Linked DNA regions of Oryctolagus cuniculus. The protein of the gene in region 1 interacts with the protein of each later gene in a pairwise test. Links are inferred from orthologs where the notes say so. Each region holds a gene or a part of one and is shown in the gene's direction. Other genes may lie near its edges. The genes, in order: DISC1, MEMO1, ITSN1, DPYSL2, CRNKL1, CEP57L1 and GNB1.

Region 1 (4,299 bases):
CTCCTCCTTTGGTTGACACTAAGCTTAAGGAGACTCTACAGTTGTATGCATTTGTAAAAGTATAATATGAACAATTAGTGAGGTTCCAGACTTGTGTAACTGTAGTTAAATAGTCATTGTATTTTCTTTTGAACTGTGTTTAATAGTTTTACCTCAAAACAAAACAAAATACAGTGCTTTTGTCAGTTAATGATTTTTTTTTTTTTTTTGGACAGGCAGAGTTAGACAGTGAGAGAGACAGACAAAGAGAAAGGTCTTCCTTCCATTGGTTCACCCCCCAAATGGCTGCTATGGCCAGTGCGCTGTGCAGATCCGAAGCCAGGAGCCAGGTGTTCCTCCTGGTCTCCCAAGTGGGCGCAGGGCCCAAGCACTTGGGCCATCCTCCACTGCCTTTCCGGGCCACAGCAGGGAGCTGGCCTGGAAGAGGAGCAACCGGGACAGAACTGGCGCCCCAACCAGGACTAGAACCTGGGGTACCAGCACCGCAGGCGGAGGATTAGCCTAGTGAGCCACTGCGCTGGCCCAGTTGGTGATATTTTTTAAGCTCTTTTTTTATTTTTATTAGACAGGTAGAGTTATAGACAGTGAGAGAGAGAAAGGTCTTCCTTCCATTGGTTCACTCCCCAAATGGCCCCTACAGCCGGCGCACTGCGCCGATCCGAAGCCAGGAGCCAGGTGCTTCCTCCTGATCTCCCATGCAGGTGCAGGAGCCCAAACACTTGGGCCATCCTCCACTGCCTTCCCAGGCCACAGCAGAAAGCTGGAATGGAAGAGGAGCAACCAGGACTAGCCCTTTCTCTCTGTCTCTCTCCTCTCACTGTCTAACTCTGTCAAATAAATAAAATTTTTAAATAAAGAAAAAAAAAAAACCACGCCTTGCCCTTCCTTATCGCACTGTTCTGTAGCATGAATTACATGGGGGATTCTCCTTGGCTCTTTTGAATGAGCCAAAGAGAAGGTGTTAGTAGGCGAGTCAATGGTGTAGATGCTTGGAACTGAACTAGACGCTTGCAACGGACTGTGGCCTGCCCAGTGCTGCCAGAAGAGTCTAAAAGCTGGAATTCTTTTTATTTCTAAACAACCGCTTTCATGCTTATCCTTCGATGTCACCTTCGGCACTTGCCCTGCACTTGGAATAAAATGAGTCTACCTGATGCTAACTCCCGCACTCACATTTTGGTCACTTCCCAAGACTAGGCATCTGGGAAGAACCTTGCTAAGGTCCTATGCTGAAGGCCGCTCAGCCTTTCCTGCCTGCATCTCCCTTGTCCTGCTTCTGTCCAGAAGGGATCCAGAGCGAAGAACAAACTTTCTGGGGTCCCGAGGTACTAGGCACCCACCAAGAGCCTGCCCGCTGCGCCTGTCCCAGCCAAGGGACTGGATGTATGCTTGCCCTGTGTGTGACCCAGTTGCAAAGGAAACCACTGCGCTCTGTAATGAGAAGGAAGGAGCCTCCCTCTTCTCCCTCAGCCCCCTCCCCACTTCCCGTCCAGAGCGCTACTTCCTCCCAATCCGCCTCCCTCGGCCCGGGGACCGGAGCAGGAGGCAGCCAAGGCGGAACTGGAGGAGCCAGCGGCCCGGCACATGTTGCGCCGGGGTCCCCAGGGCGCCCCGGCCGGCGGAGGCGGCGCGGACCGCGGCGCAGGTAGGGGCTCCGCCACAGCAGCCAGAATGGGTCCCGGGAGGTCTGGGCCGGGCCGGAAGTGCGCCTTTCCCCCTCAGTAGGTCTGGGCGAGCCTCTCTTCACAGCTCCAGTTCGGTGCGCCCCTTCAGAGGTGCGGGAAACCGCAACAGGGCGCGTAAGGTGCAGGTTTGGGAGGAGAGGGTCTGGGGCTGTCAGCTCTGTGCCCAGCCCTCCAAGTCCCTCCTGGCCCGCAGGACTCTGCAGAGCAGTCCGCGGCGGACCCATGCTCGCGTCTGACGGGTCCTGGGCGGCGGCGGAAGGCCCCAGGGGCGTGCTTGGAGTTGGGATGGGTCCTGTCCATCCGTACCCCCGCAGGACAGAGCGGCCCTGCACGCCCTCGCCCGGGACCCGCGGGACCTGGAAGGTGGAAGTTGAGAGTGGGGTAAGGAGCTGGTGAGGGCGCGTCCTCCACAGGCCACGGTGCAGTTTCATTGCAGGCTTGGAACTTGGCGACGGCAAAGCCCTCGCCGGAGCTTCGGCGGGACACCACTGCCCAGACCCTGATTACACCGTCAGCTCGCAGTGGTGACACTGAAGTCATGGCGTAGATGTTTGCTTTCCAAGCATGACAGGACTTGTATCTCTCGCTCTTAAAATACATGCAGAAGTATTGGAAACTTTCTGGAGACCGTGAGATTTGGAGTCAGGGTGTGCATTATGTCCTGGGTGCATCCCTTCCCTCAGAAGTCACAGTGGCCACTAATGACGGGGTCTCCCTGCCTCCTTGGGTCTATGGATGTGAAAGCACTTTGCTAAAAGTGTCTCACTGGTTACACAAACGTGAGCTGGGAAACACCAGGGCCATGAAAGCTGGGAGTTGGAGACAGTGTCTTTGCTTCTCAATCCTGGACTTAGCTGTGCCTCAGTTTCCCCACTTTTAAAATGGGGACCATGACAGTACCCCTTTCCCCAGAGGGTTGCTGCGCCGTTTCGGTGTGGTGGTGGATGTGAAGCCCCTAGCTCTACTCCAGAGACAGACTGCAGGATGAAAAGACTGTCGTTGCTAATTTTCCTAAGTAAAACTGAATACTGTGGCGTTTAAAGGAATACTGGTTTGATTTAAGTACGAAGAGTAGGGTGCTGTAAAAGACCCTGGGTTTTCTTGTGCTCAGGCATGACGCATGGAGTCCCTTGAGGTTCAGTTCAGACTCTGCCACAGAACAAGAACCCAGCCCTGGACAGTAGACCTACTTTGTGGGCTTTGTGACCTTGGACCTCAGTTTTTCTTAACTACTTACAAAAAAAAAAAAAAAAAAAACAAAAAAAAACCAGAAAAGGGGAATAGTAATTCCTGCCATTTAGACCAATAGTGCTACCTGAGGTTCAAATAAAGTAAAACATGTAAGACATCGTGTGGAACAGGAGTCACTGTGCACATACAGGACATCATATTACTAGCAGGAATCCTAACATCTGCAACTTTTTACAACTTCCAGATGTGCTGGGAGCTCTACTGTGCATTCTTTTGATGAACTCTTCCCCAAGCCTTTATGGGGCTGGTAATCAGTCCTTGTTTTCCTATGGCAAAGCTGAGGTTCAGGGTCACCTGCTTTTTTCCCAAGCTCACATAGCTGTTCAGTGCAGAGCCAGCAGTGCACCCCTGTGTGGACACCTCTCCCCATTGTCTTTTCAACCTCTGACTGAAAAGATGTTAGTGAATGGAGCCACGGTTCAGAGCAGACCTGTATTAGATCATAGCTAATGATGCACCCTGCATATCATAAAATGGATGGGTAAATTATTAGCCCTGCATAGGTGACTGAAGAAATCGGAGATTTCTTTCATCCCTATTTCTGTAAAATCCGATGCAGGTTATTCTCTTGAAACAATGAAAAACAAAGGCATGGAAAGCTTGAAAGAACGAATGATGATCTTGCAGATCTCAGAAGAAGTGGAATCTGGATTAATACTTTAACACCTAAATGTGTCAGGACCCTAGGATGGCACACGAGGTGACGCTGGGATGAAGGCTGTTGGTGTCAAGGTCACCTCACAGGGCTGCATCCCAGGATGTTTTTGTGGAGACCTCATGTTCAGCCATGATGCTGGCAGAGGGAAATTGAACTTTTTTTTTTTTTTTGACAGGCAGAGTGGACAGTGAGAGAGAGAGACAGAGAGAAAGGCCTTCCTTTGCCGTTGGTTCACCCTCCAATGGCCGCTGCAGCCGGCGCGCTACGGTCAGCGCATTGCGCTGATCCGAAGCCAGGAGCCAGGTGCTTTTTCCTGGTCTCCCATGGGGTGCAGGGCCCAAGCACTTGGGCCATCCTCCACTGCACTCCCTGTCCACAGCAGAGAGCTGGCCTGGAAGAGGGGCAACCGGGACAGAATCCGGCGCCCCAACTGGGACTAGAACCCGGTGTGCTGGCACCGCTAGGTGGAGGATTAGCCTAGTGAGCCGCGGCGCCGGCGGGAAATTGAACTTTAAACAGAAGAGACTGAAGATCAGATCTTTGTGCTGCATTAACAACTCTTAGTTCACTTGTTTCCTAAATTAAGTTTATTACTTTTTTTTGTTTTTCTAAAAGCAACATGTATTCATTACAAGAAGTAGAGAAAACTCCAAACAAGTAAAAACGAACAAACAAACAAACAGTAAAACCACTGAAATCTCACTA
Region 2 (3,500 bases), on another chromosome or scaffold:
GATAAATTTATTTTGTTCCAAAAATTTTTGAAATCCATCCATCCATAATCGTTTCATGATATTTTTGGTGAACTTTTTGAAGATCCCCTTCATAAATACTGTAATTAGGATCATTTTACAGATAAAGAAATCAGTTCTCAGGTTAGGATCTTAACCATCTGTTAGCATTAGTATGAGGATGATATTTTAACCTGTTTCTTCTGGCTTCTCTTTGTTCTTTGTACTCCATATAATTGTTTCTCTATCATATCATAATTACTTGTAGAATCTTGATGATATAAATGTTTATTTTTATAGTAGTACTTGAGGTTAGACTAATTCAAAACAATCTTCCTGCATTTTTACTAAGGGCTGAAATTCTTTTCTTTCCATTGATACTCACAGTTAATCGGGAGCCCCTGTTTATTTAGGTAGTTTTAGCAAACTGGTAAGAGTCAGAAGAAAAGATATCCCCATGGCAGCTTCCTCTGCCAGCTTCCTTTTTTTTTCTTACTCCATAGATGCAGATTCTGCCCAAGAAGCCCCTGCATTGCAGAGGGACTGGAGATCTGTATGATCTGTTTATTTCGCAATTGACAAGGGTAAGGGGGTTTTTTTGGGGGCGGCGCTTGGGTGCCCTGACTTTAGCTTTATGCAGCTGGGCTAACATTTATTTTGGGATTACTTAAACTTAGTATTTTAAAAAACCCTTTTATGAATTCTCTTTGCCCTACATTAGTTAAGTGCCAGATTATAATGTTAAAAAGCATTTATTATAATGGTGGTTTTTTTTTTGTTTGTTTTTAAAGTCCTGTTCAGAAAAAGATAAAGATGATTATGTTCTAAAATTGCAAATCTGGGAACATTAGATTATTAATAATATTGAATATATGAGGGTACTAAAAAAGTTTGTGCAAAAATAGTATTAAAAGATAAGTTTATGTTGGTGCCAAGGAATTGAAATCCATGAGTAATTTTTTTATCTTACACATTTTCCCTGAACATTTTGAAGACCCTATATATTGCACAGATTTCAAAATTTTTTGTACCAAAATAAACTTGTCTTTTAATTCCATTTCCACGAAGTTTTTGAAGTACCTTGGTATGTAAGTTTAGTATCACATAAATAAAAATTTAAGAAAAAGATTTTGGATATATGGCTGTATCTATAACATGTCATAGTTATTCTTTATTAAATCACTTTGTTCCTGTTCCATAAATCTATCAATTTAGAGTGAAAAAGGACTTGTGGTTATGCTATAAACATTGTGGGTGGCCAGGGTGTCTTTTCCTTGCTGCTAGAAATTAATACTTCCTGAATTCTTTGTCTATCCTAGATTTCAATGACATTTGAGTTATATCTTCAGCCTATGTTATATCTTGATCCTTAGGCTAAGTGTACAAGTGTAGTTGGTCAGTCTTATTGAAGCAAAGGTAAAGTTTTGTGGGTTTCATTTGGCAGGCTTACAGAACAAATGCCAGAAATGTTGGCATTTATGATGAAAGGATTAAAATAGATGAGGAAGACTTTAATGCTTTTAAGATCCTGGAAGGATTGGGCAGATGATGGTAGCGTTTGGTGGATAGTTGACGAGACTTGAATTGGTGATGGTCTGATGGACTTTTTATTTTTGAAGGTACTATTATACTTGATAGTCACATAACTTTTTTTTATCTAAAGAAATAGTGTACATTTCTGTAATTTTCTTCAGTATTTTTAGTATTCTGTACATCTCATATTTTAAAGTTGTGTTCTTTAAACATTTAATTTATAGTTTTTTAAAAAAATTCAACAGTAATATATGTTATTCTTACCACTATTAATAAATATTCCACTTTCTAGTGCTAAGATTTTTGCAAAGCTGTTTCTATTCTTAAACATCCAGAATGACTGTTTTGCCTTTTTTTTTTTTTTTTTTTTTCTGTTTTCTTTAAGCCATAAGGATGAGTTTACCATTATTCCTGTACTGGTTGGAGCTCTGAGTGAGTCAAAAGAACAGGAATTCGGAAAACTCTTCAGTAAATATCTAGCGGATCCTAGTAATCTCTTTGTGGTTTCTTCTGATTTCTGCCATTGGGGTAAGTTCTAGACTTTAATGTATCATGGTAGATTATATACTTGTGCTTTAAGGTATCTTTTCATTCTAAACGCTGATTGTCAGTCTTTATCACTTTCCTTGGAAAGTTTACTTTTAGCAGCAGTGTTTAGAAGTGAATGAAAAAGTCTTTTGATCATTAAAAAGGATCAGATTATAATAGTGGATTATGGATACATTTCCAAAGGCGACTGGTATAATTGGATTCACACTGTGAGGGTATCCTTGCTTAGAACTGTTCTTAGTGGGAGTTAAGACCTTTTAACCCCATTTTCAGGTAGGTATGTGTGGTAGGTCCTCTGAAGGTAGTTTTGGTGGATGAAACAAATGCTCTTCTTTAGAATGCAGAAGAGCACTGTGTGCTATGCCAGTCCTTTTCTGCTTTTCCTTTTTTGTAATTAGTCTTTCTTTCTTTCTTTTTTTCCTTCGGTGCTTATTTTTTGCTCACAATTGCCATCAGTTTAGAGCTACCCTCCAAAGATTGTAACACGTTGGCTATTAGCACTGTGGTCTTCATTGGTAATGCTTTATAAGGGTAAGGACTCTTAAGTGATTTTTGTGATTATTGTGAATTGAGAGAGTAAGGACGCTTCACAGTGAATAAATCAAGAAGGAAGTGAGAAATTTTTGGATGACTTTGTCAGTAGATTTTATTTTAGCTTTCTTTGGATAAATTTTGCTCTCATTTATCTATTAATGTCCTAGAATATTTCTGAGTTCTGTTCCTCTTAAGACGCCTCTTTGACCCGTTTATTCCTTGGTTCATTGGTTCAAGGATGCCAACATCTGTTTAGTCATCACTTATTTCTTTGATTATTGTAGGAAACATAGGACGTCAGACCATCAGTTCCAAGATAGAATGCTAGGATGGCCAAAATAACATCCTCAGTATTGGGAGCCTTGCCTTTTTTAATGTATTTTACGCATTGATTGCCTGAATTGATTTCAACATTTGTCTGGCTACTTTATGGTAGCTTCTTCCTTCTTCTCCCTTTGAATGCTTCTTAGTGTTGAGATATCAGTTCAAGAGGACTTTAGTCCGTAATGATATACGTAAAGCTTTTGTAAGGTACTGATCCTCAAAAAGGATTAATTCACCTCCTAGGCAGTTTATGAAAATACTTCAAAGACACTTTTGATTTTCACAGCAGGGATGGGATTTGGAAAGTGGCAATACTACTGATGTCTAGGGAAACTAGACTAGAGTCTAGGGAAACTGCTAACTATACATCCTGCAATGCACAGGACTACCCTCAACATCAAAGACTTACTTGGCCCAAAATGTCATTAGTGCTGAGGGCAGGAAACCTAGATTTAGGATATGCAGGTGGCTGTTTTTCCTTCCTCAACTCCAGAGGAGCTCTCAGGATTTCTTAAGAACAAATTCTGTTGGTTAGTTGATGTGCTGCCTTTGGCAGAAAGTAT
Region 3 (3,500 bases), on another chromosome or scaffold:
CTGTCCAATTCAAAATAACTCTGAAAACTTAGACTGTCTGTCCAGGTACTTCTGGCACTTTGTCTTGATTGTCAAAAAAAAGTACCAAGAATTAGAACTTGAATTGTTGTGCTTGCTGTTTTCCCACGATTAATGTTTACAGAGCATTTTTCCAGACATTTAGATGAGGATGGAAACATTTCTGTGCTGTGTGTCAGTCAAAACAGGGAGGAGGCTTGGGGCTTTGTTATGGTGGGTGCTGTTTGCTGTGTTCCGGGGTGGATTTAGTTCCACTTAGATGTTGTGACTTGTCTTTCCCACAGGTGGATGAAAGCCAAACTGGAGAACCGGGATGGCTTGGAGGAGAATTAAAAGGAAAAACAGGATGGTTCCCTGCAAACTATGCAGAGAAAATACCAGAAAACGAGGTTCCCACTCCAGCCAAACCAGTGACTGATGCCACATCTGCCCCTGCCCCAAAACTGGCTCTGCGTGAGACGCCTGCCCCTTCAGTGGTGAGCTCTTCCGAGCCCTCCACCACCCCCAACAACTGGGCCGACTTCAGCTCCACGTATGTGTGACATCCTGTTTCTGATGCTTTTTAAATATCAATTCAGGAATCATTTTTCCTCTCTCTGTGTCTTTATGGTGTGGTTGTCTCTCCGTGTTAAGGAAGCTGGCTTGTTCCTATTACCCTCTCTCTCATTGTCTCCCAGGAAGATTGTGTATTACATTCTCTGAACTGGATCTAATGGAATCATTGCCCAACTATGGTTTAACCCTGGCACAAAATATACTCTGTTATCTTGTTTCATTCTGTAATCTGTGTATCTCTTTCATTTTTCTGGATGAAATGGAGACATACAGTTTCCTACCACAGTTGGCCCTCCTCATCTGTGGATTCAACCAACTGCTGAGCCAAAATGGTCAGGAAAAAGCATTTTGTTAGCACTGAACACATACCGACTTTTATCTCATCATTACTCCCTAAACAACACAGTATAGCAATATTACCATAGCATTTACATTTCCTTAGGCATTATAAATAATCTAGAGCTGATTTGAAGCATACGGAAGAATGTGTGTAGGTTCTGTATAAATACTACTTGAGCGCCTGCAGATTTCGGCGTCCACAGGGGTCCTGGAACCAATCTCCCACGGATACCGAGGGAACACTGTCATCTGTTTTGACATCCATGTCTGTCAGCAAATATTCCAAGTCATTTCCTGCATGAATTTAAATAGGACTCTCTTGCTGGGCAGAAACAGAAATTGCATTCAGTCATGTGGTTTTGAATAAGATAGCTGTTTCCTCTCAGGCTTTCGATTTTCATTAGTCTTGTGCAAGTGTACAGTGGAGTGACGAGGTGCGTGTCCTTGACCGCTGTTATTTAGCAAAACAGCAAAGAAGTAGAGGTTTGAAATGACAGAGGAGCCTGCTGTCCAGACCTCTAGTTACAGGGCCATGACCTAGATGTGTAGTTGCCTGAAACTAGTTGAAACCAGTATGCAAATAAGAGTGATTTGAGTGAGAAGTGCTTGGGGGTGGGGGAGGATTTCTCTTCAAATCTAATCATCTTTCAGAAGAAACCAGTTGAAGTTAAGGAATCAAAATGTATTGCAGGAGAAGGGTCAGGTGGGACAAATAGAGGGAAGAAAGGAGAATGACTAGCAGGGGCAGGAGGAAGTGGAGGAGAGGATTTGAGGATAGCCAGTTTTTCATACTTAGAGTTTCATATCAGAGGTTGAAAGCCATAAAGATCCTCGCTATATAAAGTTTGCTTTTAAAAAACAGTCGCCTCCCATTAGCAGGACTTCCAAGTCAAAACTGTCCCTTCCTCTTTTGATCTCGATTGAGAAGTTATAACTTTCTAACCTGAAGCTTAGCCTGAAATAGAAGAGTAATACCATGTTTTCCAGGATTTGTTTTTGCTGTGGATTAAATTAGTAGGACATTCTTCCTCAATAAATGTGTAGTGTGCAGTTCTCCTGCTATAATTATGGACATTTTATTTTCCAAACCAAAAATCAGAGTGTGTGCTCTAACAGAGCAGTTGTTTTGATTTTTTTTCCAGTTGTGTTTACGTGTCTTACAAAGATGTAAACACAAAAATTGCGTTTAGATCTGCACTCGCACAGATGCGTTTGTCTAAAATTGTAATATCACAAAATCACAAAATTAGAACTATCTCCCTAAGATCCAAGACAACTGGTTGCTGTAAGGATGCCCCTGCCAATGACCAGACATCCAGGTGTCTGCCCTAGGGTGGACGGAGAAAGAAGAGGTGCTGGGAAGCCTTGGCTGTGGTGCTGTTTTCCTAACTTCTTCATTCCTCAGTTGTCACTGCTGACGGTAATGATCATGTAAGGAGGGTCCCGCACAGCGAAACAAAAAAGGGGCAGAGTATCGTTCCTGTTTTACCCATGAGGAAGCCAGGAGTCAGAGAGACTGCTTTAGTTTGCTAAATGGCCTTTGCTAATGTCGAAGCTCAGACTGAATCCTAAGCCCAGGGCTCTTTCCTCTCTTCCTTGTTCTTTAACTGTAGAGAGCTGCAGAAATGGGGCAGGCACTCAGCTCAGCGTGTCAGACTCTGCTTGGGTTGCCCACATCCCATGAGAAAACTTCCATTCAAGCCCAAGCTCTCTTCCCCTCCAGCTTCCTGCTCATGCACACCCTGGGAGGTGGCAGGTGATGCGTCCCTGTCACCCATGGGGGAGATCCTGATTGAGTTCCGAGCTTCTGGCTTTGGACTGGCCCAGTTCCAGCTGTCGTGAACGTTTGGAGAGTAAACCAGGGGCTACGTCTCTGACTTTCTGTGTCTGTCTCTCTGCTTTTAAATAAATAAACAGGAAATCCTGGATTTGTGTTTACACGGGCTCACTGAGCACTGAACTCTGGGTGGAAAGCTTTCGGAAGTGCGTTACCATTGATGGTGGTGTACTTTTCCTTCCAGGTGGCCCAGCAGCACGAATGAAAAACCAGAAACGGATAACTGGGATGCGTGGGCAGCCCAGCCTTCGCTCACTGTCCCCAGCGCCGGCCAGTTAAGGCAGAGATCGGCCTTTACTCCAGCCACAGCCACCGGCTCCTCCCCTTCTCCTGTGCTAGGCCAGGTAAGGGCAGTCGGTGCCCTGCAGCCAGCAGGTGCTTGTTGGTGCTGCCGTTCAGAAGTCAGCTCTGCTCTGTGCTTCTGGGATGGCTTTATCACAAGGGGTCCGGGAGTCTGAAATGCGCTGGGAAGGACCAGCGTTCAGAAGGGGGAGTCGACCCTTCCTGAGCTGATCAGGGCAGCCCTGCCCAGTGGTAAGGGTCGTACTGGAAAATGCAGAGGGCTAGCATTTCAGGCAGAAGCAGTGAGGAGGGGCTTTAAAGCAGAAAACCCAAGCGTGTGCATGGAAAATCACGTTCATTCCCTTGGCCAGGCCATTGATCACTGGAAAACAAACCGGGGAGCTCTGAAATACCCTGCAAAGATAAAGGAGTGAAATTAATCAGTTCAGCCAAGCAGGATATGCCCATC
Region 4 (3,500 bases), on another chromosome or scaffold:
GTGTTGGGGGAATAGAATCTGGCTCCATCTGCCTCACTGGAAGCTGTGCTGGGGTAATATACCCGACAGGATTTTGTGAAGGTTTTCGTGTTTACCTCCTACAGGTGCAGGAATTGCTGTCGCCTCTTCCCCTTTGACTTTCTAAGGTCTCTATCAGGATGAAGAATCCCACAGTGTACACAATTAAAACCATCGATGGATGGCTTTCAGTATGTTAGAGAAACAATAAATACTTTCTAAACCCACGTGCCTGTGCATTTGTGTGCAAACGTATTTGATTTCCCGGCGCTTATACATGTTTACAAAAGGATTCTCTATGATATTTGTTTCTTGGCAGCTACTAGACGTAAATAGCTCTTACTGAGTATTATTTTGTAGTTGACTTCTGAGTTAATTGGCAGAATGATTTTTGAAATATGTTGCATGTTAAAAGAATAATATATGGCTTAGTTTGTAAGGTTTAAGCCCAGTCTGGAATAACGCAGGTGCATATTTACTGAACAGGATTTTAGCATTCCGTTCTACCAACAGCATGTGGGATAGCGATGAGTCATGGTGTCCCATGTCGGTACATTCTTGGCTTTGCACAAATATCACCAATGAAAACACAAGTGGACCAGCAACCTATAGTAGTGTTAGGATTTGCCTTCTCTCATATCTCATCATGAAGCTTTACTGTTTTCTTAACAGGTTGGTTGAACTGGTCTATTTTTGTGGTATCCCTGCCCCACCCCCACTCCACAACACTTGCCATGATTTTCCTCAAAGATAAATGTGAATGAAGGACACAGTGAATTGAAACCTTGCTGTGGTTGAACCAAGTATGTTTGTGTAGTGGATCCCATGACAACAGACTTTTGGTCGATTTTCCTGGACACAGATCTCAGGGAGATGTGACTTTCCTATGTGTGGGTGTATTTTTTTTTTTTAAATGAGATTTAGCCAAAAGCCACTTAAAAAGCATTGACTTCTTTATCTGAAATGTTTTCAGTGTTCTTCAATAGGAGGTTTTTTTTTTTAGGGTCTAATAGAAAGATGGTTCATTTATCTACAGGAAGCCTTGGCAGCGTGTGACTCATCAGGTGCTGATGAATAGGTTACAACACACCGGCTCACCTTTGTCACTGAACCTCCCCACACTGGCTCATTTGAACCTCATTTTTGAATAGTGAAATACACCCTGGGCTCACTTATCTTTGGCCCTGTGTTTCTCAGGGGTCAGTTACGCATTGTGACCTTGTTCCCTCTTTGTTTCAGAGTGATCGTCTTCTGATCAAAGGAGGTAAAATTGTTAACGATGACCAGTCCTTCTATGCAGACATATACATGGAAGATGGGTTGATCAAGTAAGTGTAGCCCATTGTGCAAAGATGTGTTTGCAGCCTGTAGTCCCAGTATTCATTCATAAGCATTAGCTACCATTCACCCCCCGAGTCTCAAGCTTAAATGTCTTTAACAAGTGACCAATTTAGTATTTTCTTTAAGGCCATTTTGATGATGGGGATATGTGAACTCAGGAAACCTCAGATTGAGGGAATTCAAAGCCATTATTGAATGCACATCCATTGCATTATACATGAGTGTTGTGTGATTTGCTATTTTTAGTGGAAGTGACACAATATCTTCTTGTTGCCAGCTCAAATACATGGCTCATGTACATGTTCAGGTACATGCTGAAGGTTTTCCTAGAATGTAGTTGTTTGGATTGCCCCGTCCTGGGGCACAGATGTGGAATACGGCCTTTTCTATTGAGATAGCACGTCTGTCTTCTCACTCAGAAATCCACGCTGGAGCGGCTGAAGAACACCAAGCTAATTACTGAGTAGCACACACAAATCACTGCCTAATCCTCGGGGCACTCTAGGTTTCATGCGTTAAGAGGCAGCTAGCACAAGCAGGAATGCCCTTGTGTTGACTGTGTATTATGCTGCAAAGGAGAAACAACGCAGCAGTTGCTGCATTTGGGTGTTTTTGGCCTCAGAGGTTAAATGAGCTGAGTATGTACCAGTGCCCTGCGCCCTTCCTACTGGGACAGCTCACAGGGCTCTGGAGAGATAGCACATCTGTTTAAAGAAAAACATTCAGCAAATGACATCTTTTAAATAAGCAGCATTCATCAAGGGCTAGCAGCAAGCCAGTCCGGAGGAGTGGAAAACTGGAGTGGAGATGACCGTTGCCTGGAAGCTCATCCCGATTTATGAACATTACGTAGGTTGTAAGATTTCCATACGGGTATTTAATGTCTTCTCCATTCGCGTTGCTTGTGACAGTCTCAGCTGCCAGCTCCCCAGTGCTGTGACTTTCATGTTCCATTTCCCCCTCGGTTAGGAGGCAGCCAGCGTACAGTCTGGTCTGGCAGGACATTGGCCTAGAAGGGAGCAGGCCTGTATGCTATTTTTAGTTGTCACTAACGTGTCTTAGATCCTTATCACCCCCCTCTTCCTTAATTTTCTTTTCTAGAAAATTGGTAGAAAGATGTATGAACACTATTTTTTTTTTTAAGAAACTGGACATGAATCATGCGCCCCAACATAATGAATATTCGTTTTTCTGCCTTTGTTTCTCTGAGTTGCTGGGAGCATGCTTCCACATCAAACACACTTTTATTTGTTCTTTCATTTTTTATTCATTTGAAGAGCAGAGAGAGACAGAGATCTCCCATCCACTGGTTCACTCTTCAGTGCCCTCAAGAGCTGGGTATCCAAAGACAGGAGTCAGGAACTCAATCTGGGTCTCGCACGTGGGTGGATGTGGCCCATGTATTGAGCTATCAGCTACTGCTTTCCCGGGTGTCTGCTGGCTGGAATCTGAAGTGGATCCAGAACTTGAACCCTGGCACCCTGATACGGGATGCAGGTGTCCCAAGCGGGGTCTAAACTGCCGTGCCAAAGGTCCACCCCAACACATTTCACAGTGTTCATGACTTTTTTTTTTTAGCTCTTTTGGTCTCCCTCCACTCTTCCTATTTTCTGTTGAAAAGGCTATATTGAAAATAAATGTTTAGAAAGCGTAGGCAGATCTGAAGAACATTACTATATGATAATCAGCTTGAATGTGTGTGTTGCAGAAAGTTGAGTGACATTTTATATAAATATTTTGGGGCCTTTGTTATCATTTCATCTTAGGCATTTCTTGGTAGCTAAACTGCTTTCAATGAAGCCTCTGAAGCCTGTTTGAGTTTTGTTTCTCACTTATTCTGTGTCTGGAAGATAGTTTTTGGCTGATCCTGTTTGATTCCACGTTGCACTTACCACCCTGTCACCAACCCTGTTTATTTAGGCAAATAGGAGAAAACCTGATTGTGCCAGGAGGGGTGAAGACCATTGAAGCCCATTCCAGGATGGTGATCCCGGGAGGAATCGACGTGCACACTCGGTTCCAGATGCCCGACCAAGGAATGACATCTGCTGATGACTTCTTCCAAGGGACTAAGGCGGCCCTGGCTGGGGGGACCACCATGATCAGTAAGAAAATTAAGAATATTTGAAAATGAGTCTGTG
Region 5 (3,500 bases), on another chromosome or scaffold:
TTAGAAGTGGAGCAACCAGGGGCTGGCACTGTGGTACAGCGAGATAAAGCCCTCACCTGTAGTGCTGGCATCCCATAAAGGCATCAGTTCAAGTCCGAGCTGCTCCACTTCCAATCCAGCTCCCTGCTATGGCCTGGGAAAGCAGTGGGCCCCTGCATCCACCTGGGAAACCCAGAGGAAACTCCTGGCTTTGAATCAGCTCAGCTCCAGCTGTTGGCAGCCCTTTAGGGAGTGAACCACTGGATGGAAGATCTCTCTGTCTCTACCTCTGTTTGTAACTCTTTCAAATAAATTAAATTTTTTAAAGTGGAGCAACCTGACTTCTAAATGGTGCTTGTATAGGATGCCAACATCTCATGTGGCAGCTGAACTTGCTGCACCACAGCACTGGCCCCAGAGTTCAAAATTTTTTTTTTTTAAAGATTTATTTATTTGAAAGAGTTACAGAAAGAGAGGTAGAGCCGGAGAGGGAGAGAGAGAGAAGTTTTCCATTCTACTGGTTCACTCACCAAATTACCAAAATGGCCAGAGCTGAGCTGATTTGAAGCCAGGAGCCAAGAGCTTCCTCCAGGTCTCCCATGCAGGTGCAGGGCCCCAAGTACTTGGGCCATCTTCCAGTGCTTTCCCAAGGCATAGCAGAGAGCTGGATCAGAAGAGGAGCAGCCGGGACTCAAACTGCTGCCCATACGGGATGCCGGCCCTGCAGGCTGGGGCTTTAACCTGCTGCACCACAGCACTGGCCCCATAGTTCAAATATTAATATTAATGTTACTGAGTATATATAATGTTGCCATTTAATGGCTACATTCTTTTGTCCAAAAATTATACTAAGGGTTTAACACATTTTCTAATTTAAAGCTGGTAATAATCCAGTAGGATTGGCATTTTTCCCTATTTACAGATGAAAAAAATGAAACTTATCAAGTTAAATGTGTTGTCCAAAATGACATGGCTGGAGTCCTGGGTTTAGATTTCTGTTTGTCACTAAGCTCTTGTTTGTACCTACCGCTGATTATTGAATGAGTACTAGAAGAGATTCTACCGCAACTTAATATGTGTTTCATCACCCATACGGTTCTAGTTTGAATTATTGTTTGGGTGTTTATTAATTTATTTTTATTTATTTGAAAAGCAGAGCTGCAGAGAGGCAGAGAGAGAGAGAGGTCTTCCATCTGGTGGCCCACTCCCCAAGTGGCCACAAGGGCCAGAACTGTGCTGATCAGGAGCCAGGATCTTCTTCCAGGTCTCCCACGCAGGTGCAGGGGCCCAAGGACTTGGGTCATCTTCCTCTGCTTTTCCAGGCCATAGCAGAGAGCTGGATCAGAAGTGGAGCAGCTGGGACTCAAACTGGCGCCCATATAGGATGCTGGCACTGCAGGTGACAGCCTTACCCACCATGCCACAACACCACCCCTGAGTGTTTATTAATTTACTTATTTGTGTGAGAAGCAGAGAGACACGGAGAAAGGCAAAGAGAGCTCCCATCCAGTTCACTCCCCAAATGTCTGTGATAGCTGGGGCTGGGCTAAGCTGAAGCTGGAAGCTGGGAACTCAGTCTGTGGACCCAATTACTCGAGTCATCACTACTGCCCCTAGATTCTGCGTCAGAAGGAGGCTGCAGTCAGGAGCCAGACACAGGCCTTGAACCCAGGCACTCTGACATAAGACGTGGGCATCCAAACCAGCATCCTAACACTAGACCGAACGCCAGCCACTCTGTTGTTTTTGAAGTCATGTTGCCTTGCCTGGTAGTTCCTTAATTCTCTTCCACTCGTCCTCGTGCACCCTGATGTTAAGAACTGGATCAAATATGCCCGCTTTGAAGAGAAACATGCTTATTTTGCACACGCACGGAAAGTGTACGAGAGAGCTGTTGAGTTCTTCGGAGATGAGCATATGGATGAACACCTTTACGTTGCCTTTGCCAAATTTGAAGAAAACCAGAAAGAAGTAAGTTTGCTTAACTTAGTTATGTTGCAAAAAAAACTTAGAGTAAGTATCGCATCTTGTGCACTATGTGTTCATTTCTACTTTTTCTTATCAGAGAAAATGTTCTCAAAATAAACAGTTGCTCACAGAAAACAGCATGCCTGTGTGGCCAAGCTGCATGTGCATAAGTTGAGTGACTGCAGATTGTATTACAGCTGTCTTAATTTTGTTTTGCAATTTAGCCTTTAAATCTGAGTGTAAACTGAGAGTTACTCGTTTGGTGTCCTGTGATTAGAAGGTAATAAACCTGGGAGACAAAGCTGGAAGCCCTTAGAGAACAGAATTTAGAATGAAAACGGATTGCCTCATGAATAAGTCCAATCTTTTCTTCCATAGTGTGTGTATGTGGGAAATAATTCTTCCAAGTAGCTCAAGTAATACAGATTTGAAAGAGGAAGACACTTGCATGGGTCATGCAAGGGGGTTTAGAACCTGAGGCCAGAGGGAAGCAGTGAAGGGATTTATGTGGGAGAGTGATTGGATATGATTTATACATTTTTTAGATCATTGTTTATTTCCTGGAAATATGGGCTTAGACAGGTCTCCCATCTACTGGTTCACTCCCCAAACACTCACAAAGCTGCAGCTCAGCTGGGCCAGGACAAAGCCAAGAGCTGGGAACTGAGTGCAGGTCTCCTGCAAGGGTGGTGGGGACCCAAGTACTGGAGCCGTCATCTGCTGTCTCCAAGGGTGTGCACTAGCAGGAGGCTGGACATGGGAGTGAAGCTGGTACTCGAACCTTGGCACACTGATACAGGATATGGGTGTCCCAGGCAGCGTCTTAACTGCTAGGCCCAGAGCCTCTGACTGATTCATGATGAATAAATTCGGGGGCAGGGGGTGACAAATATGTCTGTAGGGGAGACCAGTAGGGAGACTTTGGGAATGGTTCAGTTAAGCGTGGAGACAGGTGGGCAGATGGGGAGAAGAGCTGTGTTGAAGAGGTAGTAATGGCTGGGTGTGTTGAAGGATTGAAATGTGGAAATGTGGGAGGGGAGGAGTGAAGGAGGACCCCTGGGGTTTTAATGTGAGCACGTGAGACTGTGGGTGCTGTCTACTAAGATTGGAAAGTGTGGGAAAGAGCCTGGTTTGATGGGTGAGTGGAGAGAAGAGCAGCTCAGATTGGGGCCTGTTTAGCTGAGAGGTGCAGCAGCCATCCGACTGGCCACATCAGTGGACTACATTCAATGTGGAACTCCAAGCCAAGTCTCAGTCCCTGGACAAACACCTTCAACAATGAGAGAGGAAAGCCTTTATTTATATCTGACTTTTAGGTATTTTATGCCACAGTTACTCTTTCCAGTTTGTGACGAGAATGAGAACATTATGTTACAGAAGCTAATCCTGCCTGCTTTTAGTTTGAAAGGGTACGAGTGATCTACAAGTATGCCCTGGATAGAATTTCAAAACAAGAGGCCCAAGAGCTCTTTAAGAACTACACCATCTTTGAGAAGAAGTTTGGTGACAGGCGCGGTATTGAAGACATCATCGTGAGCAAACGGAGATTCCAG
Region 6 (4,242 bases), on another chromosome or scaffold:
AGGTAGCGTCAATTCGTGAACTCACCAAACGACCCACGGGAAGCGACGGCCGAGGGAATGACCAAGAATAAAATGTCCCTGGACCACAGAGACCAACGTACTTAAAGTGCGCTTCCTTACCTGGGCGCTCTTCAGGATAAACTCACTCCTCTCTCTCACGTCTTTAAAGGGACACCTTTTGGAAAGCATCAGTAGCCGAGCGAGCAGCTTATTCAGCCCGTCCACAGAGGCGGCGTCCGAATGCCCGTCGGGTGGACGAGAAGGTGGCCCCTCCAGCGAACGCAGACACTCGGTCTTTCGCAAAACGATCTGCCTAATGTTCTCCAGGGCCGTCTCTCGGACAGCGGGATCTCGGCTGCACAGTCCGTCCCACCTCACTTCATTCTCCCCTTCAGCCATGGCAATCGGGCTTCTGCCTGGACGGTCTTCAGTCCCCCTTCGGCATGCCCCCCAAAGCGCCCCGCAGCCCTTACATGGGGCACGTGCGGCTAAAACCGGGGCGAAACGCAGCCGTCATAACACGACGTCTGCGAGACGCTGGGAACCAGAACCGATCTGCAAGACCGAGCACCCTTTTCACCCTTCTCCTTCACCCACGGGGCGCTCTTCGGGTCGGAGATGGAAAAAACAAAAAAGTTGGGAAGTCGCAGTCCGCCCAGCGCCAGCCTCGCGGCACGGGGAGTCTCGGGGAAGTGCTCTCGGCCTCGCGGGGTCAGCGGATATCCTCACGTCGTCGAGCTGTCAAATCCGCGCTCTGCCCAAAAACGCTGCTGGCAGCGGAACGCGCTCCAGCCATTCGGTTTTTTTTTTTTTTTTTTTTTTTTGTCTGTGCGGCCGCACGGCTCGCCCCGGCGTTCCCACCCCGCCCCTCCTCCGGCGCCTGGTCCCGCCCTCCGCGCGCGCCGCCCAGCGCCTCAGCCGCTCGCTGGACGCCGGCGGCGAAGGTTCGCCGGACCCCGGGCCCGGTGGCCGGCCCGGCCCGAGACTCGGGCGCTCCCGGCAGGGGGGCTCCCGCAGCCCCCGTGCAGAAGGGCAAGGAGAGCGGCCCGGGCCGCGGCCGATTCCGGACGCCCGGGAAGACGCCGCTTCTCCGGCCCCTGTGCCCTCGCCTACCGCCCGCCCAGCCAGAGGGCACGGGGCGGCCTCGGCAGTCCTCGGAGCTGCGGGAGCGGCTGGGCCCCGACCGAGGCGCAAAGCCCGCCCCTTCGTCCAGCCCCATCTGTGGGGTTCGGCCCAGAAGGCGGGAGCAGGGAGGGGAGATGGGGTCCTCACCCCCCAGCCCCTCCCCTTTCTCCGCCCGGCACTAACCGGGAGCCGCCTGCCCCTGCCCCAGCGCCTTCTTCCCCGCCCAGGCAGCGGCGACCCGCCGTGGCAAAGCCATTGGAAAAAGCCCCGCCCTCCGCCAGGCTACCTCTCCAGACCCCAAGTCCGCTGCGCGCGGCCGCCAAACCGCTGCCGGGTGCTACGCATGCGTGACCGCGGGCAGGGCGCATGCGCCTTCCCAACCACTTGGCGCGCGCCGAGGGGCGTTTTCCGTTCCTGAGCGTTTGGAGTCTGTCCTGGAGAAGAGGGAGGAAAAGTAAGGAGCAGGAATGTGCTGAGACTTGCTCACACACGAGTTATACACAAGCAGGGGAGGAGGACACGGACGCGCCCTTGGAAGAATTTAAAAATTTAAGATTAGCCTAAAAATAGCGCCGGCGAGCTCCAGGTTTAAGGAGGCAGGGCACTTTCGCATTGACTTCTGGGAAATGTGGTTCTGATGATGCCGGCGCTGTCTGTGTGCGACAGAAACTACAACCCCCAGAGGCCACTGCGACCTGAATGTGGCAGCCTGTGAACCAACTGGTTAGCCGAGGCAGCGGCTGCCCCAGGGCGTCGGTCTGGTAAGCACTGCGCGCTTTTTCGTCATGTTCCCCTCGATAGGGTTTTCTCCGTCCTCCATTTCCTCTGGAACCTGGGAAACCAAGCCGTCTAAGGTTGCGGTCCTTATCCGGGGACTTTTCCCAGTGACCTGCGAGAGAAGGACTGGTGCAGGTGCCCCGAGTCCGGGGGCGTGGTCAGGCGAGGCTTTGGGGGTCGCGATCCCGAGGGTCTGTGGGAGCGGCCTGATTAAGACCACGACGGAAAGATGCGTTGGAAAGGGGGCCCCGCGCTGCTGTCTGTTTTGCCGGTTCCTGTGGACACGCGCGGGATGGGTTAAAAATCCCTGTGCAATTGCACTGTTTTCTGCCTTTCTCCAGGGGTGTTCTGTGGGCTTATTTGTTTTGTTAAATAAGATCTGGGGTGGTGCCTTGGAGTAAAGCCGCCGCCTGCAGCACCGGCATCCCTTATGGGCGCCTGTTGGAGTCCCCCCGGCTGCCCCACTTCTGATCCAGCTCCCTGCTGAGGTGCCTGGGAAAGCCGCTGAAGGTGGCCCAGCGCTTGGGTCCCTGCACCCACGTGGGAGACCCGGAAGAAGCTCCTGGCTCCTGTCTGGTTGCGGCCATATGGGGAAGTGAACCACTGGATGGGAGATAACTCTCTCTCTCTCTCTCTCTCTCTCTCTCTCTCTGCCTCTCCTTCTCTGTAACTCTTTCAAATAAATCTTTAAAAATTTCAACAGCGCTTTAAAAGCAAGTAGTCAAATGTGCCTTATATAAGACTGAAAGGAAAAGTATCCTCAATATTCCTAAGTGTGAATTCTGGGAAGGCCATGAAGATGATGCATAACCCCACCAAGTTTAGTATCTTTAAAAGAGTCATTCTTTAAAAAAAAAAAAAAAAAGTCATTAAGCTTGAGAAAAGTTGAGGTTTGAAAGGCCATGAGTGGACCAATAATCTGAGTCGATTTTAATTCATCGTATTGCAGAATAGATGTATTTCTAAAATTTAGGCTTCCTAAGCATTGAGTATTTACAACTGAGAAAGGAACAGTCCTATCTAGTTAGAGAACCAGTGGTTAAATATGCACTTGCAATGCAATCTGGTATTGCTAGGATGGCTAGAAGGAGATCATGTAGCCCAGATGTGCAAAGTTAGGGAAATCTTTATTTCAAGGGAGGTAAAGGCCAAAAGAACAAGCCAGAAATGAGAGATAGGGTGCTTTGAGGAAACTGCAGTAAGCCAAATCGTATGTATTTGGGAGATGGGGACAGAACAGCCTTTTGAAGCTGCAGAGAGGTACTGTGAATTGAATTTTTTTAGACAGTTTGAGTAAGTGATCTGCCCTTGAGCCAGTTCAGCTAATTGACCTAATTTGGCTTTACTTTCTAAAGCTACTGGTTTGAATAATAAATTTAAAAGGGAATAACTTCTTAAGACTGATCTTCAAAAGCAAAACCAAAGCCATTTGTCACTCCCCCTCTTCACGGAGGAACGACACTAAACCCTGCCTAGGCTTCATATCCGAGTCACGGCACCATTATGTCGCTCCCCCTCTTCGCAGAGGAACGACACAGGACCCTGCGCTGTTCTTTTGTCTGCTCGGCCCTCCCGGGTTTGCTACCGGGAAGGAGGTGGAAGGGCGGTTCCCCCTGCCACTTTCCCCACTTCCGCGGGGGAGCGGCACACCGCCGGCCAGCTCTCTCGGAGGCTGCTCAGATGTTCCTCAGATGTTCCTCAGATGTTCCTCAGGTGTTCCTTCAGATGTTCCTGGTGCATGTTGTCTCTCTCCTCCTTTATGGTCCTCTTCCACCAATCCCAACTCTGCTACCCACACGCCGAGTATGCTGCTCTCCTCCAATCAGGAGCAGGTCCTGCTGTTTATTGGTTGAACTGGAGGCAGCTGTGTAGAAGCTGTTTCCTCCTCTCCCAGCGCCATATTGTGGGAGAGCAGATGCATAGAATAAGTCTTTTTTTTTTTTTTTTTTTTTTTGACAGGCAGAGTGGACAGTGAGAGAGAGAGACAGAGAGAAAGGTCTTCCTTTGCCGTTGGTTCACCCTCCAATGGCCGCCGCGGCCGGCGCGCTGCGGCCGGCGCACCGCGCTGATCCGATGGCAGGAGCCAGGAGCCAGGTGCTTTTCCTGGTCTCCCATGGGGTGCAGGGCCCAAGCACCTGGGCCATCCTCCACTGCACTCCCTGGCCACAGCAGAGGGCTGGCCTGGAAGAGGGGCAACCGGGACAGAATCCGGCGCCCCGACCGGGACTAGAACCCGGTGTGCCGGCGCCGCTAGGCGGAGGATTAGCCTAGTGAGCCGCGGCGCCGGCCTAGAATAAGTCTTAATTCCAGTAACAGTCTAGTCCGAGTTGCTCCCCACAG
Region 7 (4,122 bases), on another chromosome or scaffold:
AGCCCTGCCGGTAGCCGGAGGTGCCAGGGCTGCACCCCTCGCGGCTGGTCCAGCCTCGTGGCCCTGGCTGTAATGGGATGGCCCAGCCATGGGCCAGAGGAGCCCTGGCACCAGGCTGGCCCACGGTGTGGAGTGCCCAGTGCCCTGGATGGCTGGGCTGGAGGTCCCGGGTTCCCTCAGCCTCCCGGCGTCCACGTACACAGCCCCTGCCCGCTCTGGCCTGCGCGCTGCACCCTCCGCCTCCCTGCCGACGTTCCTGTGTCCTGGACCTCGGGTGGGCACTGAGGCCGGGACCCACCTCCAATGCCCAGATCCACCCCTCTGCGGCTCCACTGCCCCGTGGCCCTGGGGCTGCCCAGCACGCCAGCCCTTCCCTGAGGCCCATATCTGTGCCCACCACTCACACTCCACTGGCCAGTGAAGCTGCCCCACCAAGGGCCCACTGTATGGTGTCCCTGTGCTGGGCACAGCCGAGCATCACCCCACATCTTCCACACCTGCTGTGGCTTTCCCGGGGATGCCTGGTGGGGCCGGGGAGCGGTGGGCGAGGCCGGCCTCGCACTGTGGCAGGGGCAAGGGTCGGTCAGGGTCTCAGGCGGCCAGGGCCAGAGGACAACATGTCTGGGGCGGTGACCCCACCGGAGCCAGCAGCTGGAGTCACAGGGCGGGGGGGGGGCAGGAGAACACGCCCACACTGGTGCACACAGTCAGGAGCCTTCCTGTGGGGGTCAGCAGGGCGGGGGGAGGGTCCTCCGCACATGGGCCCCGCGGCGTGGGGTGGGCCTTGGCGAGATCCTGCAGGTTCCCCGTGCTCCGTGGCACACCCAGGTCCGCGCACCCCCCCTCTGCCTGGCAGCCGCCTCACGCGGGGCCCACGCGGTGTGGAGGGTCCAGGCCGCGGCTCCAGCGAGCCCAGCTGCACGGGCGCACGCCCGGGGAAAGGGGCTTCGGGTTGGACTTGGGACCGCGGCCAGACCAGCTGGACGGGGGGGGGGAGCGAGTCCACGGCCCCCGAGGCTCCAGCGGACGCATCGCGACCCCCGCCCTCCCCACCCGGCGCCCGCGCCTCGGCTGTCGGGCCTCGGCACGCACGTGGTCGCTCCTCGCGGGAGGCCACTCGGGGGCACCGGGCTCCAGAGCCCTCCGGCGCCGTCTCCCGCAATGCGCCGGCCCTCGGCCCGTGCGCGGCGCAGAACCGGCTCTCCGGGCGCCGGCCGGCGCGAGCAGGGGAGCCAGGGCCTAGGTCCGGCCGCAGCCGGGGCCGCGGGGCTCCTTTAAGAGCCCCGCGCACGCGCGCGTCGGCTCGGGGAGCGCGCGTGCGTGCGCGCGCCCGGCGGCCGTGCGCGGTGACGCGGCGCGTGGGGTTTCCCGAGCTGCGGGCAGGGGCGCCGCGCCCATCCCGATGGCTGGAGGCGTCTGAGGGGCGGACGGCGGCGGGCGCGGGCGGGAGCGGAGCGGGAGCGGCCGGAGCGAGCAGCCGCCGCGGACCCACAGCCTCGCCGCGCACCTGCCCAGCGCCCGCAGCGCGGCCCGAGCGCCAGCCTCGAGCGGCCCCGGCGGCGGCGTGGGCGTCAGGCCGGGCGAGGGCGCCGAGGTGAGCGCGGCCGCCGCGGCCCAGCCCCGAGCCCCCCGGCCCGGTCCCCGGTGCCCCGGCGTCCCCGCGGGCCCCTTCCCCTGCCCGCCGGCGCCCGCCCCGCCCCCACCGCCGGCCGGGCCGCGTCTTCCTGCCCCGCCCGGGTGGGGCTGCGGGGCCCCGGGAGGCGGCGGGGGTGCGGGCGGGGGTCCGAGCCCGCCCCGAGGCCAGGGCGCGCCCGGGCCAGCGCGGGTCGGGGGGCGGCCCCCGCCCGGCGGCTCGGACCGCGGCCGCGAGAACAAAGGCTGGCGCGCCCCGGGCCGCGGGAGCCCCGCCGCGCGGAGGGGCGGCCGCGGCGGGCGGCCCCGGGCTCGGCGGTCGCGCCGCCCCGGCCCGGAGCTCGGGGGCCAGCGCCGCGCGGGCGGGCGAGACCCCGCGGCGACCCCGGCCCTCGCGCGGCGTGGGCGCCGCGTCCGGGCCCCACGGCCAAGATGGCGACCCCGCGGCGCGGCCATTGTCGCCGGCCCCGCGGGCTGCGGGCCCCCCGCGGCCCTGGGCGTCCCGCGTGGGGGCGCGTGCTCCGGGGGCCGCGCTCGTCCTGGGGGCCGCGCTCGTCCTGGGGGCGCCGTGGGGCGCTGCGGCGCGGGGCGCCGGCCGCGGGAGGAGCCCTCCGGGGCGCGCCGGGTGGGCGCGGGGTGGGCTGCTGCGTGTGTCCGTCGGTGCGACCGTGCTGTCACCGTCGCTGCCCGGGGGAGACAGCTGGGCTTTTGTCACGGCCAGCTCGCCGGTGCGGGGATGGCAGGCGGCTGCGGGCAGCGCGTTGGGTCTCCGGGGCACGCGTGGCGTGTGCGTGGCGTGCCGCTCCGGTGGAGCTGCAGGCTTTTTGGAGGGAAGGAGCGCCGTCTGGACGTGAGGATGCGGGCGCTTCCGGGGGTGCGCGGCAGCCAGACGGCGAGGGAGCAGTTCCCTTTCCGCCGGCCGGCGACACGCGGTGCGCGGCGGGGCTGGGCGGGAGCCCGAGGGCCGCAGCTGCAGTGCAGGTGCCCGGCCGGGGCCGGCGAGGGCCCCGAGGATGCTGCGGGGTTTTCTTGCGTGGAAATCCGCGCCGGGGGCGCCTGAGGAGGTGGCCCCGCGCCCACCCTGCTGCCTGGCACGCGAGGGGTCGGTTTCGTGTTCACTCCGGAGCAGCGAGCGGAGAGCGCTCCGCCTGCCCGGTGCCGGAGGCGGGTTTGCGGGCAGGGGCCGCGCCCTGAACTTTTCTCTTGGCTGCGCCGGGAAAGTGTGGCCCCCAGACGGCCGGCGGGGAGGGTGGGGGTCTCGGCCCCGCGGGCAGCAGTGGGCTCTGGCTCATCCTGCTCTGAGGAGGAACACTGGTCTCATTTCGGAAGTGCAGTGTTGGCATCTGCTGTAGCTTCTTCATTGGATTGTTTTTCTCCGCCCGAGAGATTTGGCTCATGTCAGTCTCCAAATTGGATTAAATTCTTGCTGCCTGCGGCTTTGGCTTCAGCGTTAGTGGATTGGTAATAGATAGGCTCAATTTTATTATCTGGGCTTGACCATATGGCAAGCAATATGATTTTGAAACCCCTGTTTAGTGCAAGTCTCGTAAGACGTGGACAGGGTTCTTTAGATTATTTTTAAACACTGTTTTGAATTCTGGTTTCAGGTTTGTGTTTGCTGATGGAAATGAGTGGTGGGATTACGAAGCGGTTTCACATGAAATGGGGGGATGAGAACAGATCCAGGGGCTTGAGCCCCAGCGGCTGTTCCACTTCTGAGCCAGTTCCCCGCAGGTGCGCCTGGGAGGGCAGCTGAGGGAGGCCCGGGTGCCTGGGCCCCGGCACCCACGGGAGAGGCCCTGACCGAGCTCCAGGCTCTGGCTTCAGCCTGGCCCAGCCCTGGCCGGTTCGGCCATCTGGGGAGTGAACCGGCGGGTGAGTGGGTGGGAGATCTTTCTGTATCTGCCTCTCTTTGTGTAACTCTGCCTTTCAGGTAAATAAATAAATCTGTAATAAAAGCGAATGTGTGTTGAGACAGGGAAATGATTTACATGGCTGAGACTTCACACTGAAGGAGTGTGTATACGTACGGGAGCGCAGGGCCCTGTGGCTGGGCTGCGGGGGACGGGGCGCCTGTGCCCCACAGCTGTGAGCTCTGTTTCAGACCCCGCACCTGGGAAGTGCGGCGGCTCCGGGCCGCGAGCCGTGCGCGGCCAGGGGAGGCGAGGAGCCGCCTCAGCTCCGTCCTGTGTCCTTGTGCAGGCGCTGCCTTCCGTGGACCCGGGCTGCTTGCTCGCTGCTAGTGAGACTGAGTGAACGTATTCCCTTATTAGCTTAAATCGGAATTCTGAGAAGGAGCCTTTCCGAAGAGCTTAATTTAAAAGACGAGACTTAACTAAAATGATTCTTAGAATTACCCGAGAATTCAGCCTGTTGTGCCACTGATGAGAGATGATTATGATTTAATAATCACTGCGAACGTAATGCGTTTTATCAAGGGGCAGGTTAATTCTGTATCCTGTAACCTACTAGAATTGGAATGCTGAAGGC

Evidence for each region.
Region 2: the proteins of DISC1 (region 1) and MEMO1 interact in a two-hybrid assay, tested with the Homo sapiens proteins (2 studies listed by BioGRID and IntAct). The link is inferred for Oryctolagus cuniculus from reciprocal best matches to the Homo sapiens genes DISC1 and MEMO1.
Region 3: the proteins of DISC1 (region 1) and ITSN1 interact in binary tests that used the Homo sapiens proteins (3 or more experiments, as listed by UniProt). The link is inferred for Oryctolagus cuniculus from reciprocal best matches to the Homo sapiens genes DISC1 and ITSN1.
Region 4: the proteins of DISC1 (region 1) and DPYSL2 interact in a two-hybrid assay, tested with the Homo sapiens proteins (2 studies listed by BioGRID and IntAct). The link is inferred for Oryctolagus cuniculus from reciprocal best matches to the Homo sapiens genes DISC1 and DPYSL2.
Region 5: the proteins of DISC1 (region 1) and CRNKL1 interact in a two-hybrid assay, tested with the Homo sapiens proteins (2 studies listed by IntAct). The link is inferred for Oryctolagus cuniculus from reciprocal best matches to the Homo sapiens genes DISC1 and CRNKL1.
Region 6: the proteins of DISC1 (region 1) and CEP57L1 interact in a two-hybrid assay, tested with the Homo sapiens proteins (2 studies listed by BioGRID and IntAct). The link is inferred for Oryctolagus cuniculus from reciprocal best matches to the Homo sapiens genes DISC1 and CEP57L1.
Region 7: the proteins of DISC1 (region 1) and GNB1 interact in a two-hybrid assay, tested with the Homo sapiens proteins (2 studies listed by BioGRID and IntAct). The link is inferred for Oryctolagus cuniculus from reciprocal best matches to the Homo sapiens genes DISC1 and GNB1.

What each region holds. Positions count from the first base shown.
Region 1 is NC_091444.1:51,179,735-51,184,033, forward strand, and holds the start of DISC1 (disrupted in schizophrenia 1 protein), read left to right. Parts: upstream 1-1,499; 5' UTR 1,500-1,584; coding exon 1,585-1,645; intron 1,646-4,299. UniProt on the Homo sapiens protein: Involved in the regulation of multiple aspects of embryonic and adult neurogenesis. Required for neural progenitor proliferation in the ventrical/subventrical zone during embryonic brain development and in the adult dentate gyrus of the hippocampus.
Region 2 is NC_091433.1:170,928,575-170,932,074, forward strand, and holds part of MEMO1 (protein MEMO1), read left to right. Parts: intron 1-1,915; coding exon 1,916-2,058; intron 2,059-3,500. UniProt on the Homo sapiens protein: May control cell migration by relaying extracellular chemotactic signals to the microtubule cytoskeleton. Mediator of ERBB2 signaling.
Region 3 is NC_091435.1:11,216,616-11,220,115, reverse strand, and holds part of ITSN1 (intersectin-1), read left to right. Parts: intron 1-302; coding exon 303-550; intron 551-2,933; coding exon 2,934-3,093; intron 3,094-3,500. UniProt on the Homo sapiens protein: Adapter protein that provides a link between the endocytic membrane traffic and the actin assembly machinery. Acts as a guanine nucleotide exchange factor (GEF) for CDC42, and thereby stimulates actin nucleation mediated by WASL and the ARP2/3 complex.
Region 4 is NC_091433.1:47,650,439-47,653,938, reverse strand, and holds part of DPYSL2 (dihydropyrimidinase-related protein 2), read left to right. Parts: intron 1-104; exon of another isoform or gene 105-245; intron 246-1,257; coding exon 1,258-1,346; intron 1,347-3,279; coding exon 3,280-3,464; intron 3,465-3,500.
Region 5 is NC_091442.1:44,663,046-44,666,545, reverse strand, and holds part of CRNKL1 (crooked neck-like protein 1), read left to right. Parts: intron 1-1,771; coding exon 1,772-1,950; intron 1,951-3,347; coding exon 3,348-3,500. UniProt on the Homo sapiens protein: Involved in pre-mRNA splicing process. As a component of the minor spliceosome, involved in the splicing of U12-type introns in pre-mRNAs.
Region 6 is NC_091436.1:62,308,330-62,312,571, reverse strand, and holds the start of CEP57L1 (centrosomal protein CEP57L1), read left to right. Parts: upstream 1-1,442; 5' UTR 1,443-1,579; exon of another isoform or gene 1,580-1,886; intron 1,887-4,242. Other genes in the region: SESN1 (sestrin-1), read right to left, coding at 121-399. UniProt on the Homo sapiens protein: Centrosomal protein which may be required for microtubule attachment to centrosomes.
Region 7 is NC_091438.1:163,893,230-163,897,351, forward strand, and holds the start of GNB1 (guanine nucleotide-binding protein G(I)/G(S)/G(T) subunit beta-1), read left to right. Parts: upstream 1-1,322; 5' UTR 1,323-1,594; intron 1,595-4,122. UniProt on the Homo sapiens protein: Guanine nucleotide-binding proteins (G proteins) are involved as a modulator or transducer in various transmembrane signaling systems.